Linked DNA regions of Arabidopsis thaliana. The protein of the gene in region 3 interacts with the protein of the main gene of each other region in a pairwise test. Each region holds a gene or a part of one and is shown on either strand. Other genes may lie near its edges.

Region 1 (4,270 bases), 6.1 Mb from region 3:
GCCAAAGGGTAAAATCCTTAAATCTGTCATATTTATAGCTTTCTTTAGAACCCGAGACCTCATTTGAATTTACGCAGATTGCCTCCTTCCTGTTGTACTTATCTGATGTTGAAGAAGGCGGTGAAACCATGTTCCCATTTGAGGTCAGTTTATAATATATTATTTGCTTACTTATTATACAGACCCTTTCGTTAGTTTTGATTCCATTTAAACGCTTTCTATTTAACAGAACGGTTCTAATATGGGCATCGGATACGATTACAAGCAATGTATTGGGTTGAAAGTAAAGCCTCGGAAAGGAGATGGTCTTCTTTTTTATTCCGTGTTTCCAAATGGAACGATTGATCAGGTAAACAAAGTTTGAACACATTTCATTTCTTCTCTTGACTCCTATTCCTTGGATTAGTTCATGCTAATAGGAGCTCTTTGCTGTGGTTCCAATGCTTCTGCAGACTTCGCTTCACGGGAGCTGCCCGGTGACCAAAGGAGAGAAATGGGTGGCAACCAAATGGATCAGAGACCAAGACCAGGAAGAATAAGTTAGGTTTTTTTCCATATATCTATCTCAGTCTCACAGCTTCTATCTTTTGACTAAAAATCTGCTGCTGGATCCCTCGTGTACAGTTCTTCGCTGAAACAGTGTAACTATTTAGCTTTCTTATAATGCGAATGATACAAAAATTAAAACCTGATAATGAAAACTTGGTTCGAAATATCATTTGAACAATAGAAGTTTCTTGTTGTTTGATATTTCAGTAAAAGAAATATAAGAACTTATAAGATTAACACAGAAGTGATGACAAGTGTGGATCGATTTGGGTGTTCTGATTACTTGGTATTGAGTATTTACTGCTCGTTTGAGTCCGTCAAGTCTCTTGTTAATTTGCAATGTGTACTAATTTTTTCCCTTATAACTTAACAAAATGTGTTGTATGATTGTATTTGTATCTATTAAATGGAAAATTATTTTGTCCATGTTATATATATAAAAAATGTATCTGAGCTTACACACCAGGGACCATCTTTTTATTCGAGTTTTTGTGGACACATGAGTCATGAGTGATACCGATAATAATTTTTGTTTTTTTTTGTGTGTGTGACATCATCTACGTTTAGTTTGGTTTAGAATCTTCGAAAAATTGCCGACAGAAAATAAGAGAATCTTCTCTTCCAATGATCTACGTTCTTTTTGACTAAATATATAAAAATAAAAGAGTTCATAAAAAGTGGCTAAAAGTCGGAACTTGGGACACGAACGCAACACGTGGCTTCTACTAAAGGTTAGCGTCACTGAATTAAGTTTTACGTGTCAGAAGTGATGACGTCGACACTAACCAATGTGAACAGGACGTGTAAACAACCCTAGAACACTACAGAACAGAAACAGTTTGGGGATGTTTGGTTTTTGAACCGTCCACCTTTGACGGTCACGCGCTCTTCAGCCTTCAGGCACTCTTTCCTCCGCCTAACATAGAAATTGGAAAGGTTATTTTCTCCAATAATTTGGCTTGGCTTTTGAGTTTATTGAGTGATTAGCTAATAATAAATAATAATCAATTTGTTGGCTTATATATAATCAATGTGCTAAGTAACACTATAGCTTTCACAAAAACTTCGGTTATTAGGAAAGATCTCGACAATTCTGTATCTAGAAAAGGCATGATTAATTAATTTATTAAGAACAAAACTAATTTATGAAGAACGATTGCAATGGTACGAGACGCGAGTAGAAAAACCTTTATACTCGCGAAATATACAAATTGTGTGTTTCATTATTTATTGGCATTTAAACTTTTTAAAAAAACAGAGCTCTGTTTCTTCTTCTCCACCGCCGTTATATATAAAACCCTTCCCTGAACCCCCAAAACTCTCGGAGCCATCACACGACAATGACCGGCGCATTGTTTAGAAACGCTGCTTCCGACGCCGCTCGGATCTTTCGATTACAGCGAGCAACGATGACGAATCCTTTTGGAAAGCTCGACCCTTTACCGATAGGAGGAAACATCCAGCGATTGCAGTCGAGGCCTTTTTATCGTACGCCTCAGTTTCTCGGGAAAGCAAAGGAAACAGGTGTCTCTGGTTTCTGTTCGTCTTCGTCTTCGTCTTCTTCGACGGTCTCTACAGCAGGATTCATCGGATGGTATTTGGGAATGGTGAAATCTCGGCCGGTTCTTACCAAATCCGTCACGTCCTCGCTTATTTACATAGCAGCCGATTTGTCTTCGCAGGTAATTTCAAAAATCTATCTCATTTTTGTTTTGTAAGCCTACAAATCAGATTTTAGATATTCTGTGATTATGTTCTTGTTGATTCAGTCCTAAGATTCCATTGTGTTTTCTAACAAATGGTAATAGTAGAAGTCACTGTATCTCCATTGTGCTTTAGAGATTTGAGATAGGACAAGAATTACTTCTAGATTAAGAAGTAATGATCGATTCTTAGTAATGTGGATGTAGTAGCGGGTTTTATGTGAATTGAGTTGTTATATTTGCTTACGTTTCTTTGTTCTTGTATTGTTGTTGACAAAAGTGTGACTTGTTTGATCTTTCAACAGACAATTCCACAAGCTTCAGTGGATTCTTATGACTTGGTAAGAACAGCAAGGATGGGAGGATATGGGTTATTAATCTTGGGTCCTACACTTCACTATTGGTTCAATCTCATGTCAAGTCTCTTCCCAAAACGAGATTTGATCACAACGTTTAAGAAAATGGCCATGGGACAGACAGTCTATGGGCCTGCCATGAATGTTGTTTTCTTCTCACTGAATGCAGCCCTACAGGGTAAGCTTTCAGCTGTACATGAAAAATAATCAACTGGTTCCTTTCTTATAGTCTATATATTCTTCTTTGAGCAACATATAAAAGTATGATTTTTCTGAAACTCTAGATCCTGTTGACCTTCAATCTTAAGGGTTGTTATAGAGCAGGTTGTTTGATGTTACATTCTTTCTCTAAATGGCGTTTGAAGAGAGGAGAATTGTTGTTAGAATTTGATCCTAAGCTATTCTTGATGACATCAAAGTCTGATTTTCAATTATTTTTTCAGGTGAAAATGGTTCAGAGATAGTTGCTAGATTGAAAAGGGACCTACTTCCCACAATGCTTAATGGTGTCATGTATTGGCCTTTGTGTGATTTTATTACTTTCAAGTTCTGCCCTGTTTATTTACAGGTATGTATGATTGATACCTACCACTTTATTTCCAACTTAGCTTCACTTTGGTTAACCTTTTGTTCAAGACAGATCATATATTTGCTGCATTCATTTTGTCTTATCGTGAGTTTTGGTTATCAACTGAAGTCTGGTTTCTTTTTGTCTGCAGCCACTTGTGAGCAACTCGTTTTCGTATCTATGGACAATCTACATAACTTATATGGCAAGCCGTGCGACGCCAACCGCCATTGAAATTTGAAAAAGCTCTCTGGGAAACTCTCTCAGTTTAGAAATGAAGAAATGAAGCCAAAAAACACTTTTACTAAAAGAAACAGGGCATTCTTCAACATTCTTTGTTTCCTCTCTCCAGATTTTAGGAGGATATAATGTAAGGAGTTTTGGGGAAAACTGTGCATTTGGACATGTCTTACACTCTTAGATTTAATTCAATTCTATGTTTAGTATTCCATGTAATATTTGAGTAAAATGGTGGTTCTTTAGCTTCGATCAACTTTTTGAGTCTTTACCAGGCAAAGGAAACTGTTGACACAAGTCTTTTATATTAATCCTTAGTTACATCAGTACGGTTAACAAAGACGGAAAATTTACACGAGACCAACGGAGTCAAACCAAATGCTATGTATGCTAAAATATGGTTTTTGTTCTCAATCTTATACGCGTCCCAGATTGGTAGGGTAGCAGGTAGCAGTGCGACAGCTTGTAACAAAAAAAATTGATATGCCAAATGTATTGTTTTCTCATAACAGTAAGTAAAATTTTAGAAATTTAGGGTCCTTTCTTGTACGTAGGTCCGCATATATATCTGTACCAGAAGAAAGAGCACACAAAGAACAAAACAAAACAATTTAGTAAAAAGGAATGATAAAAAAAAAAAGTAAATTCTTCTAGTTCTTTTTTTGAATATCAGTAAATTCTTCAAGTGAAGAGAATATACGTTTTGTTATAGAAAATTAGAAACTTACTATACTTCCAAACACGTTGAAAAACTCCCAATGAGATTAGGAATCTATATATAAACAATATAGACAAGAATAGTCGAGACAAAAAGAAGCTTATGCAAAAAACAATTTCTTACTTTTTTTTGTTTTGTT
Region 2 (4,025 bases), on a different chromosome or scaffold from region 3:
GATTTCTTACCATAATTTTCAGATTCTGACTTGTTAGTAGCAAAAAGATCACCCTTGTTTCTTTTGCTACATAGTGTAATCTTCTTAACGTTTATGTCTTGTGAGATTCATCTTTGTTATTTCACTGTCACCAGTTTGATGGTCTCATATGATGCATTGTCACCAAGTAAAATATTGATTTTTGTTTTGTTTGGTTAGATAAAGACAAAGAAAACTGCAATCTGTGGTGCTGCTGAACTGCTGATGTTGAATCTATTCATTGGTCGTGTCTAAAATACAATATTTTGGATTAGATTCTAAACTGGTACATGCAACAGAACAAGCACCTGAGGTTCTATGGTGTAGTGGTTAGCACTCTGGACTTTGAATCCAGCGACCTGGGTTCGACTCCCGGTAGGACCTCTCATGCTCTTGCATTTTTTTTTCTTCCAAACATTGGTGGAAACTGAACCGGACCAAACTTCATCAACTCAACACTAAACAAACTTTCCTAATAGATTGAAAAGATTATACCAAAATTTAACTGAATAAACCAAAGTTCATTAAGATTAACTTTTATATAATGATTATGATATATAAATCACAACCAAAGATCAAACCAAAATTCTAATTTGGTTCCGTTTCCCCAAACACAAGAAGAAAAAAAGTCTGTTGACTGTAATCATCAAGAAATAACATTTACATGTAGTTTTCCTATAGAGAGATACATACAAATCTGAAAGCTATTAGAACTTAGTAGCAAAGCCTCAGATATAAACAAGAGATGAGTGGGTAGTATTCATACAACAACAAACCATAGATTCGGTAATGGATTGCCTCTAAATTAGCTATTATTCTCCATGGTCGTGAAGGTTGCCGTTCTCTTGGTTTCTTCTGTGGCTTCTCTCTCTTCTGAAAGCATGAAACAGATCCAACCCGAGGCCAACATTAAGAATGTTCATTCCTGCCATACCAGACAGAGCGAGTGGTAACTCCACGCCTTTCCCAAACTTGTGTGCGTCTTTGATCAGCTTGATAGTGATGAGAATGTGAGGAATGCATCTCGCAAACACAAAGGCTGTCCAGTTTAATACCCACTCCAGTTTCACCAATGCTGTGTTGCTGTCTCGGATTCCTGCCATTCTCCTTAGCTTCCTCACGTGTAGAAAGATCGAATGCATCTGTTTACACATCCGAATAACAGAGGTGTCACTTTTGTTCGAACAAGTAGATGTTGTAGAGTTGAGTCTATATCTAACTAGATTGTTATATATGAAACTAGTCTAGTTTAACTAGAGAATGTTAGCATAGATTCGGTAAAGAACAGAGAAAAGCCAGGGCAAGTTTTCAGGAAGAAAAAAGTGGAACGTACCTCACAGATGAGAGTAAGAATAAGGTAGTTGATGGTTACATTTCGGTATAGTGCCAATGTGAAGCAAACAAGGAGGACTAGATGGTGAACAAGAATAGAAGGTATTAAGCCGCTGTATAACCGGTACTGAAGCATATCCCACTGGTCATATGCAAAGTAGCCGCATGAGAAACACAAAGCTGGATATGCCCATTTCCAAGTCCCACCAACCAACTCAGAATGATCAAACATCTCGTCTAAACCTTTGGCTAAGCATTGATTGAGAAGTATGAAAACCACTGTAGTAACACAAGAGCAGTGTTGAAGATGAAAAATCATAATCAGTAAGGCTTAACGAAGAAAGAACTGCATTATACTCAAGCTATGGCAATCAATCATAAGACTAATCCAATCGGAAATAAGAATCACATTAAGCAATGAAACCGTGAAAACACAGCACCAAAGGAAAATTGACTAATACCAACGACCAATGTGCACACCTATGATAAAATTTCCCCACTAACAGAGCACAATCCTATAGTAAGAACTCAAATATAAGAGAAGAGAGAAAGGGACCTGATGCGGAGGTGATGATTGAGTGCAAAAGCGAGACAGAGGTATTAACAAATATAGGGTCACGAGAAATCCATGAACGAACAACCCAATTCATCAATTGAAAGAAGCATCCACCGCAAATCACCCAGAGAAGCTCCGTCCGGAGATTGAAAGCAATCTCAAACACGACGGAGACAAGCCAAAGAAGCAGCGTCGCTAAGAAAAACTGCCCAGCCCCATTCTTCTTCCCTCCTGAACTCCCAATCCCGTTCCTCGCCATCGAAACCTCACTGTCTCTCTCGGAGATTGCTTGAGAATCCGGCAAAGTTAACCCTAAATTGGATTCTTAGCTCAAACTTCGATATCCATTTCCAATTTTGGCGGAAGAGACGATACAAATGCCTTCACGTTATAAGCTTTACTTTGGGACGCAACGGACACGTGTCGGTCGATACTTCATCCTCCTGATGCTGACTCATCTAATTAAAACAAAAAACGTACGATTTCAACATCGACAAAATTATCATATTTTGTGCCGACATTCGATGTCGACAGTCATTAGGCCTAGTCACAGCCCATTTGAAAGGCTCGGCCCATTTGAGAGGCTCGGTACACCAAACTAGAGGCAAATCCACTCAATACTATACATTAGACAGAGTGATACAACAAAATCCAGAGTTGTTGTTAGTTACACACACAGAAGAGAACAAGAAGACTATAAACAAAACACCATCAAGCTGAAATGTTCAAAGTATGTGTGTAAGTGTATATTAGACCGGTTTCCACACAGACAAAACCTCTTGAAACATCTCCAGCATCAGTTCTCGATCAGCTTGCCTGAAGAAACTGCTGATTTCTTCTCTGACATCATAAATCTTTCCGAAATCAAACAAATACATCAAACACCCTTTCTTCAGTTTCTCCAGCTGATAAAGCCAAGCTTCTTGTAGCCTCTCGAGCACATTACTCGAGTTTATATCTTCCATTAGGCTCTCCTCGCAGGCTGCTTTCAAATCCGTTATGTCGTACTTGTTTGCAGCGCCGAGGAGGGCGAGCCTGTGTTTCCAGAACTCTTCTTGGGTTATGTTTCCGTAGAGGTAACTTAGTAGAGCCATGCAAGATTCTCTCGACATGTCGTCTATGTGGATTGTGGATGATTCCTTTTCCATGAGGTCGTGGTGGAACATGCTTTTGAAAACAGTTGAGCTAGCTGAGAGGATAGCTTTGTGAGCAGAGAGTGTTCCATCGGCTGTGTGGATGATTACATCGGTTAGTATGCTTTCCTCTAGCATCCGGGATAAGCATTTGAGAGTGGTTTGAGTAGAGATTGATTGCATTGTTGCATCGGTTGGCCAAACAGGAGAAGCTTCACCACCCTGGATTATGATTTGATTTGATCAACCATGGAAGTACAAATGTTACAAAGAGAAGAAATTGTGAGAGTATAAATAGAATCATTAAGCTTACATTCACAGGGCAGATTTTGAGATCAAGAAACTCAACATCAATGGTGAATCGACCGTGGAAACTGGAGTCAACATGCCACACACAATCATCAGTTGTACGCAGCAGCTTCTCATAAACTGCACCAAATAAACAGAGTATCTCAGCTTAAACAAACCTAATTCAGTTGTAACCATCCCATAAGGTACTACTAATCATCAGCCAATCATTAACATCTAAATTAATATCTTTCAGATTCCACATAATTGAATATAGTTCCCACATAAAAGGTAATTCCCTTTCCTGAAATACCTAATTCGAGCTCGACAATAGAATTCAAATTCCAAATCCAGAAAAGTCAATTCAAAGACAAGACATACCAGGAGAGATGTAGAATCTACGATTGGGGCCAACGTTGGAGACACGAAGAACAAATTTGGCAACAGGAGGTTGCTCTTTAGATACTCGAGAAAGTTCTGGGAATAGCCTCACTGATAGATAGCGATTCCTCTCTATAGACAGATGCCTTCATCATATCCCAAAACAAACAAAAATCAAAATTCCGAAGAAAATTTACCAAAATAAACCAAAAATGAAAAGCTTACCAATTCCAAATTCCGACTTTGAAAGGATCGGACTTTTTGAAAGAACAAGGACCAAAATTTTCAATTCTCCATTGAGCTAACCTCGAGATTGT
Region 3 (3,843 bases):
TTATAAGAAATATAATAATATTCGCATGAATAATTATGATGATTGTCAAGTGTACGAAACAATAAACATCCTTAGACTTGGAAGGAAAGGTGTTCTCATAATTTGGACGGTGGACCTAACTTGCTTCCGTGTGGAATAAGTTATACATATCTTCCTCTTCTTCTCTTTGGTTTTTGGTAAATTATTTCAATTATTTCTAAAGTTTGGTAAGTTAATTTTTTTTTTGTTACGTTTAATTTCCTTTTTATATATATTGATGCGATATGTTTACTAATAGATATTTTAAACATGTACCTGCGCTGGTTCGAACTCAAAAACCCTAAGAAAAAAACTAGCCGATGCTATTTAGTTGTATAGAAAAGCTATTTTCTTGGACGCTAATAATCTTTCGATTAGATACGATAAAATGTTCATATCATAATTCACATTACTAATAAGTTTATCAGATTCTCGCTTTGTTAGCACCAGACTTTTGGTATCGATTCAAGTCGGCTACTCATGTCCTAAAGAGAAATCATAACTAAATCTTACACCAAAAGCTAAGATTATGGTTGTTTGATAGTTCCCTTTTTGGGATCATATATGTTTGATCAGTTCGGTATTAGTAAACTATCTTATTAACCGGACCAAGTCTTGTTCAATTCAATACAATTCTTCGGTTTGTATTATAAAACAAACCGGTCTCATAACCTTAAAATGAAGCCCCCAAAAATAGTCCAATACAACAAAACCAAAGCCAAAGCCTTCTTCCAAAAAGACAGTTTACAAAAACAAAAACAATAATCTCAACCTGAGCAACAACCAGAAGATTTAACAGCAGTAACATCATCCTTATTTCCGATATCAATGGTTTGTCCTTTAGGTAAAGACATCGGATCTCCAGTACCATCAAGAGCTTTACGGCTCATTACACGATAGATTTGAGTCAAGACATGAGTGAAAGCTTGTTCGACATTTGTAGCATCCAAAGCAGAAGTCTCCATGAAAAACATGTTTTCTCTTTCAGAGAATGATCTAGCTTCTTCTGTGGGAACTGCACGAAGGTGACGAAGATCGGCTTTGTTTCCAACAAGCATGATTACAACGTTGGCATCGGTATGGTCACGAAGCTCCTTGAGCCATCTTTCAACGTTTTCGAACGTTATGTGTCGAGTTATGTCGTATACTAGAAGTGCCCCCACTGCTCCTCTGTAGTATGCACTCGTGATTGCTCTGTATCTGTATAACAAATAAGTCGCTATTACTCAAAAACAGAGCATATAGAGAAGAAAGAGAGCATAGGAGTGGGAGATCGGTTTACGGTTGGTTAGTTTCGGCTATTGATTATATCGGTTAATAGAAATTAAAACCAAATAAAATAATTTGTAATCTGGTTTATTTTCCAATTTGTTCTTGATTTGAATTAAGTTATATTTGGTTCCTTTTAGCAAAAAAAACTTTTTACCAAGAAAGTTATATTTGGTTAATCTATAGAAATTGATTATTAAAATAAAATCATTATCTAGTCAAATATTATATCAGTGCAATATACTTATTCCAATTTTCCATACATATACATAATTAAAAGTATATTATATTTATAAAAAAAATCGAAATTGATAATTGAAATAAATCATGATCTAGTTAATATTATATTAATGTAACATAACTATTTCAATTTAATTTCCATAGAGATACATAATCAAAAGTAGAGGATTTCTAAAAAAATGCGGTTTATTTGGTTACACTAAATCAGTTTATATTGGTTTCAAAATAGTAAAACAAACAAATTTGTAAAATTATCCAGTTTGATTTTTGTTCAACCATTTCGGTTTGGTTTGGTTCAAAGAATGAAACAAAACAGAACATATAGAGATAAAACAGTGAAATTTCGAGGATTTATTACCTTTCTTGACCAGCGGTGTCCCAAAGCTGAGCTTTGATGATTTTTTCGTCGACATGAACACTTCTTGTGGCGAACTCGACACCGATGGTTGACTTTGACTCGATGCTGAATTCGTTTCTGGTGAAGCGAGACAAAAGATTGGATTTTCCGACGCCGGAATCTCCAATCAAGACTAGTTTGAAGAGATAATCGTAGTCGTCGTCGGCTCTGTAGGCTCCCATTATTAAGGTATTTGATAGAAGTTACAAAATCGTAAAGAAGAATTCAGAGAGATGTTGCAATATGATCTAATGAAATGAATGATGTGTTGTTGTGTTTTGTAATGAAATGAAATTATGGGTAGTGGGTAACGACGAAAGGGCTTATTGGTTTTGGTAGTGTTATAAAAATAAGAATAATATTAGGATTCAATCATTTGTTATTATTATATGCATGACTTAGCATATGTATATGTTTTGAAAGTCGTTGGAAAGATTAGAGAACAAACATGTTTGACGAAATCTTCGGGTTTATGGCCGCCATGAACTTGGTAAACGCAGAACAATATACACTTGCAGGAAAAAACAATATTATTATGTCTTCAATTCAATAATTCAATTTATAGCTTTTCTCAAATAAAATCACAGGGAAATTTGTTCATAAATAAAATTATAGCAATGTGTAGGAAGATATCTAGGTAAAAGATTTTTTATGGTATATTGTCATGAAATTTTCCATTTCTATTTTTAACTTCTAAGGATTTTTTTTATATGACACTAAATATAGTGTAGAGTTGAGATTATTGTTGGACACATGTACTAGACTTTTAGTAATAGATCAAGTCTAAAGGAAACTAGTAAGTTTGTTTTTGAGATAGATCTTATATTATTTATTTTAGACCTAAAAGGCTAAAACATTTGTGTTCATGTAAATGTTAGCAATAAATAGAAGAATTACTTAAAGCTCTTAATTGACAAACAACATTTTAACATTATTATTTCTCAGTTTTGTTTCTGTGGACAATTTATTTGACTACTATATGCATATATATTTGCTAGATTTTGATACCTACATAACACTTGGTTATAAAGAAAAACAAAAACCACTCAAATTGAATTTCAACTTGAGAACTCTTTATTATTTGACACCAATGTGTATATGACCTATTTTATTACAATAATTTGTATTGGTTCGAGAATCATTGACCACAGCTTATAGCTCAAGACTTAGATAAAACACAGACACTCAAAGAGGAAACATAACACAACAATGGTACAAGATTTTTCTTAACATTTTAAACGACGACTTGCAAGTCACCGACCTATAAATTGTCTCTGTTTTCCACCAATTTCGAAAAGAATACCATAATAAAAGAGGACAATCTATCACCACTTTGATCATCATCAATGTCCCAAGTGCAGAGCTTCATCCACGGCCAGTGCCAATGCAGCAGCAGCACCAACATATGTGTGTGGAGTTAGCTCCAGAAGTTGGTCTTTTGCTTCTGAAGGCAATTCCAAACCTTTGATAAACGTTCTTATGGTTTCTTCATTCACAGCTTTTCCTCTTGTTAGCTCCTTCAGCTTCTCATACGGCTCAGGGACACCGTATCTCCTCATCACCTTTATTTGATACCATAATACTTCTGTGGATTAGAGATACATCAAATATCTTGATTGATATAGAAGATTAGAAACTCGAGAAATTTACAGTTTGTATTGGTTCAGCAAGGACTTCCCAATTATCATCCAAATCTTCTTTTAACCGAGCTTCATTAACCTATATCAAGAACATTCTTAGTTTGTGACAAGTGGAAACATTTCTTAGGGCTACGGTAATAATACCTGAAGCTTCCCGATTCCCTGTATCGCACTCTTGTAAGCGAGAAGAGAGTGTCCTAAAGCTCCACCCATGTTTCTCAAGACAGTTGAATCAGTTAAATCACGCTGCAGATTGTACATTTTTCAGGCTTAGTTTAC

The links. The genes of interacting proteins can lie anywhere in the genome.
Region 1: the proteins of RABA1e (region 3) and AT4G33905 interact in a two-hybrid assay, tested with the Arabidopsis thaliana proteins (one large-scale study listed by BioGRID).
Region 2: the proteins of RABA1e (region 3) and AT1G21790 interact in a two-hybrid assay, tested with the Arabidopsis thaliana proteins (one large-scale study listed by BioGRID).

The regions. Positions count from the first base shown.
Region 1 is NC_003075.7:16,253,212-16,257,481, reverse strand, and holds AT4G33905 (Peroxisomal membrane 22 kDa (Mpv17/PMP22) family protein), read left to right. Parts: upstream 1-1,721; 5' UTR 1,722-1,889; coding exon 1,890-2,231; intron 2,232-2,557; coding exon 2,558-2,786; intron 2,787-3,051; coding exon 3,052-3,176; intron 3,177-3,327; coding exon 3,328-3,417; 3' UTR 3,418-3,730; downstream 3,731-4,270. Other genes in the region: AT4G33910 (2-oxoglutarate (2OG) and Fe(II)-dependent oxygenase superfamily protein), read left to right, coding at 1-8, 78-143, 230-349, 453-539.
Region 2 is NC_003070.9:7,652,497-7,656,521, reverse strand, and holds AT1G21790 (TRAM, LAG1 and CLN8 (TLC) lipid-sensing domain containing protein), read right to left. Parts: upstream 2,435-4,025; 5' UTR 2,166-2,434; coding exon 1,907-2,165; intron 1,630-1,906; coding exon 1,352-1,629; intron 1,161-1,351; coding exon 831-1,160; 3' UTR 541-830; downstream 1-540. Other genes in the region: AT1G21780 (BTB/POZ domain-containing protein), read right to left, coding at 2,656-3,261, 3,353-3,468, 3,709-3,854, 3,934-4,025.
Region 3 is NC_003075.7:10,183,118-10,186,960, forward strand, and holds RABA1e (RAB GTPase homolog A1E), read right to left. Parts: upstream 2,267-3,843; 5' UTR 2,107-2,266; coding exon 1,886-2,106; intron 1,219-1,885; coding exon 786-1,218; 3' UTR 554-785; downstream 1-553. Other genes in the region: AT4G18440 (L-Aspartase-like family protein), read right to left, coding at 3,268-3,486, 3,575-3,643, 3,709-3,810. UniProt on the Arabidopsis thaliana protein: Intracellular vesicle trafficking and protein transport.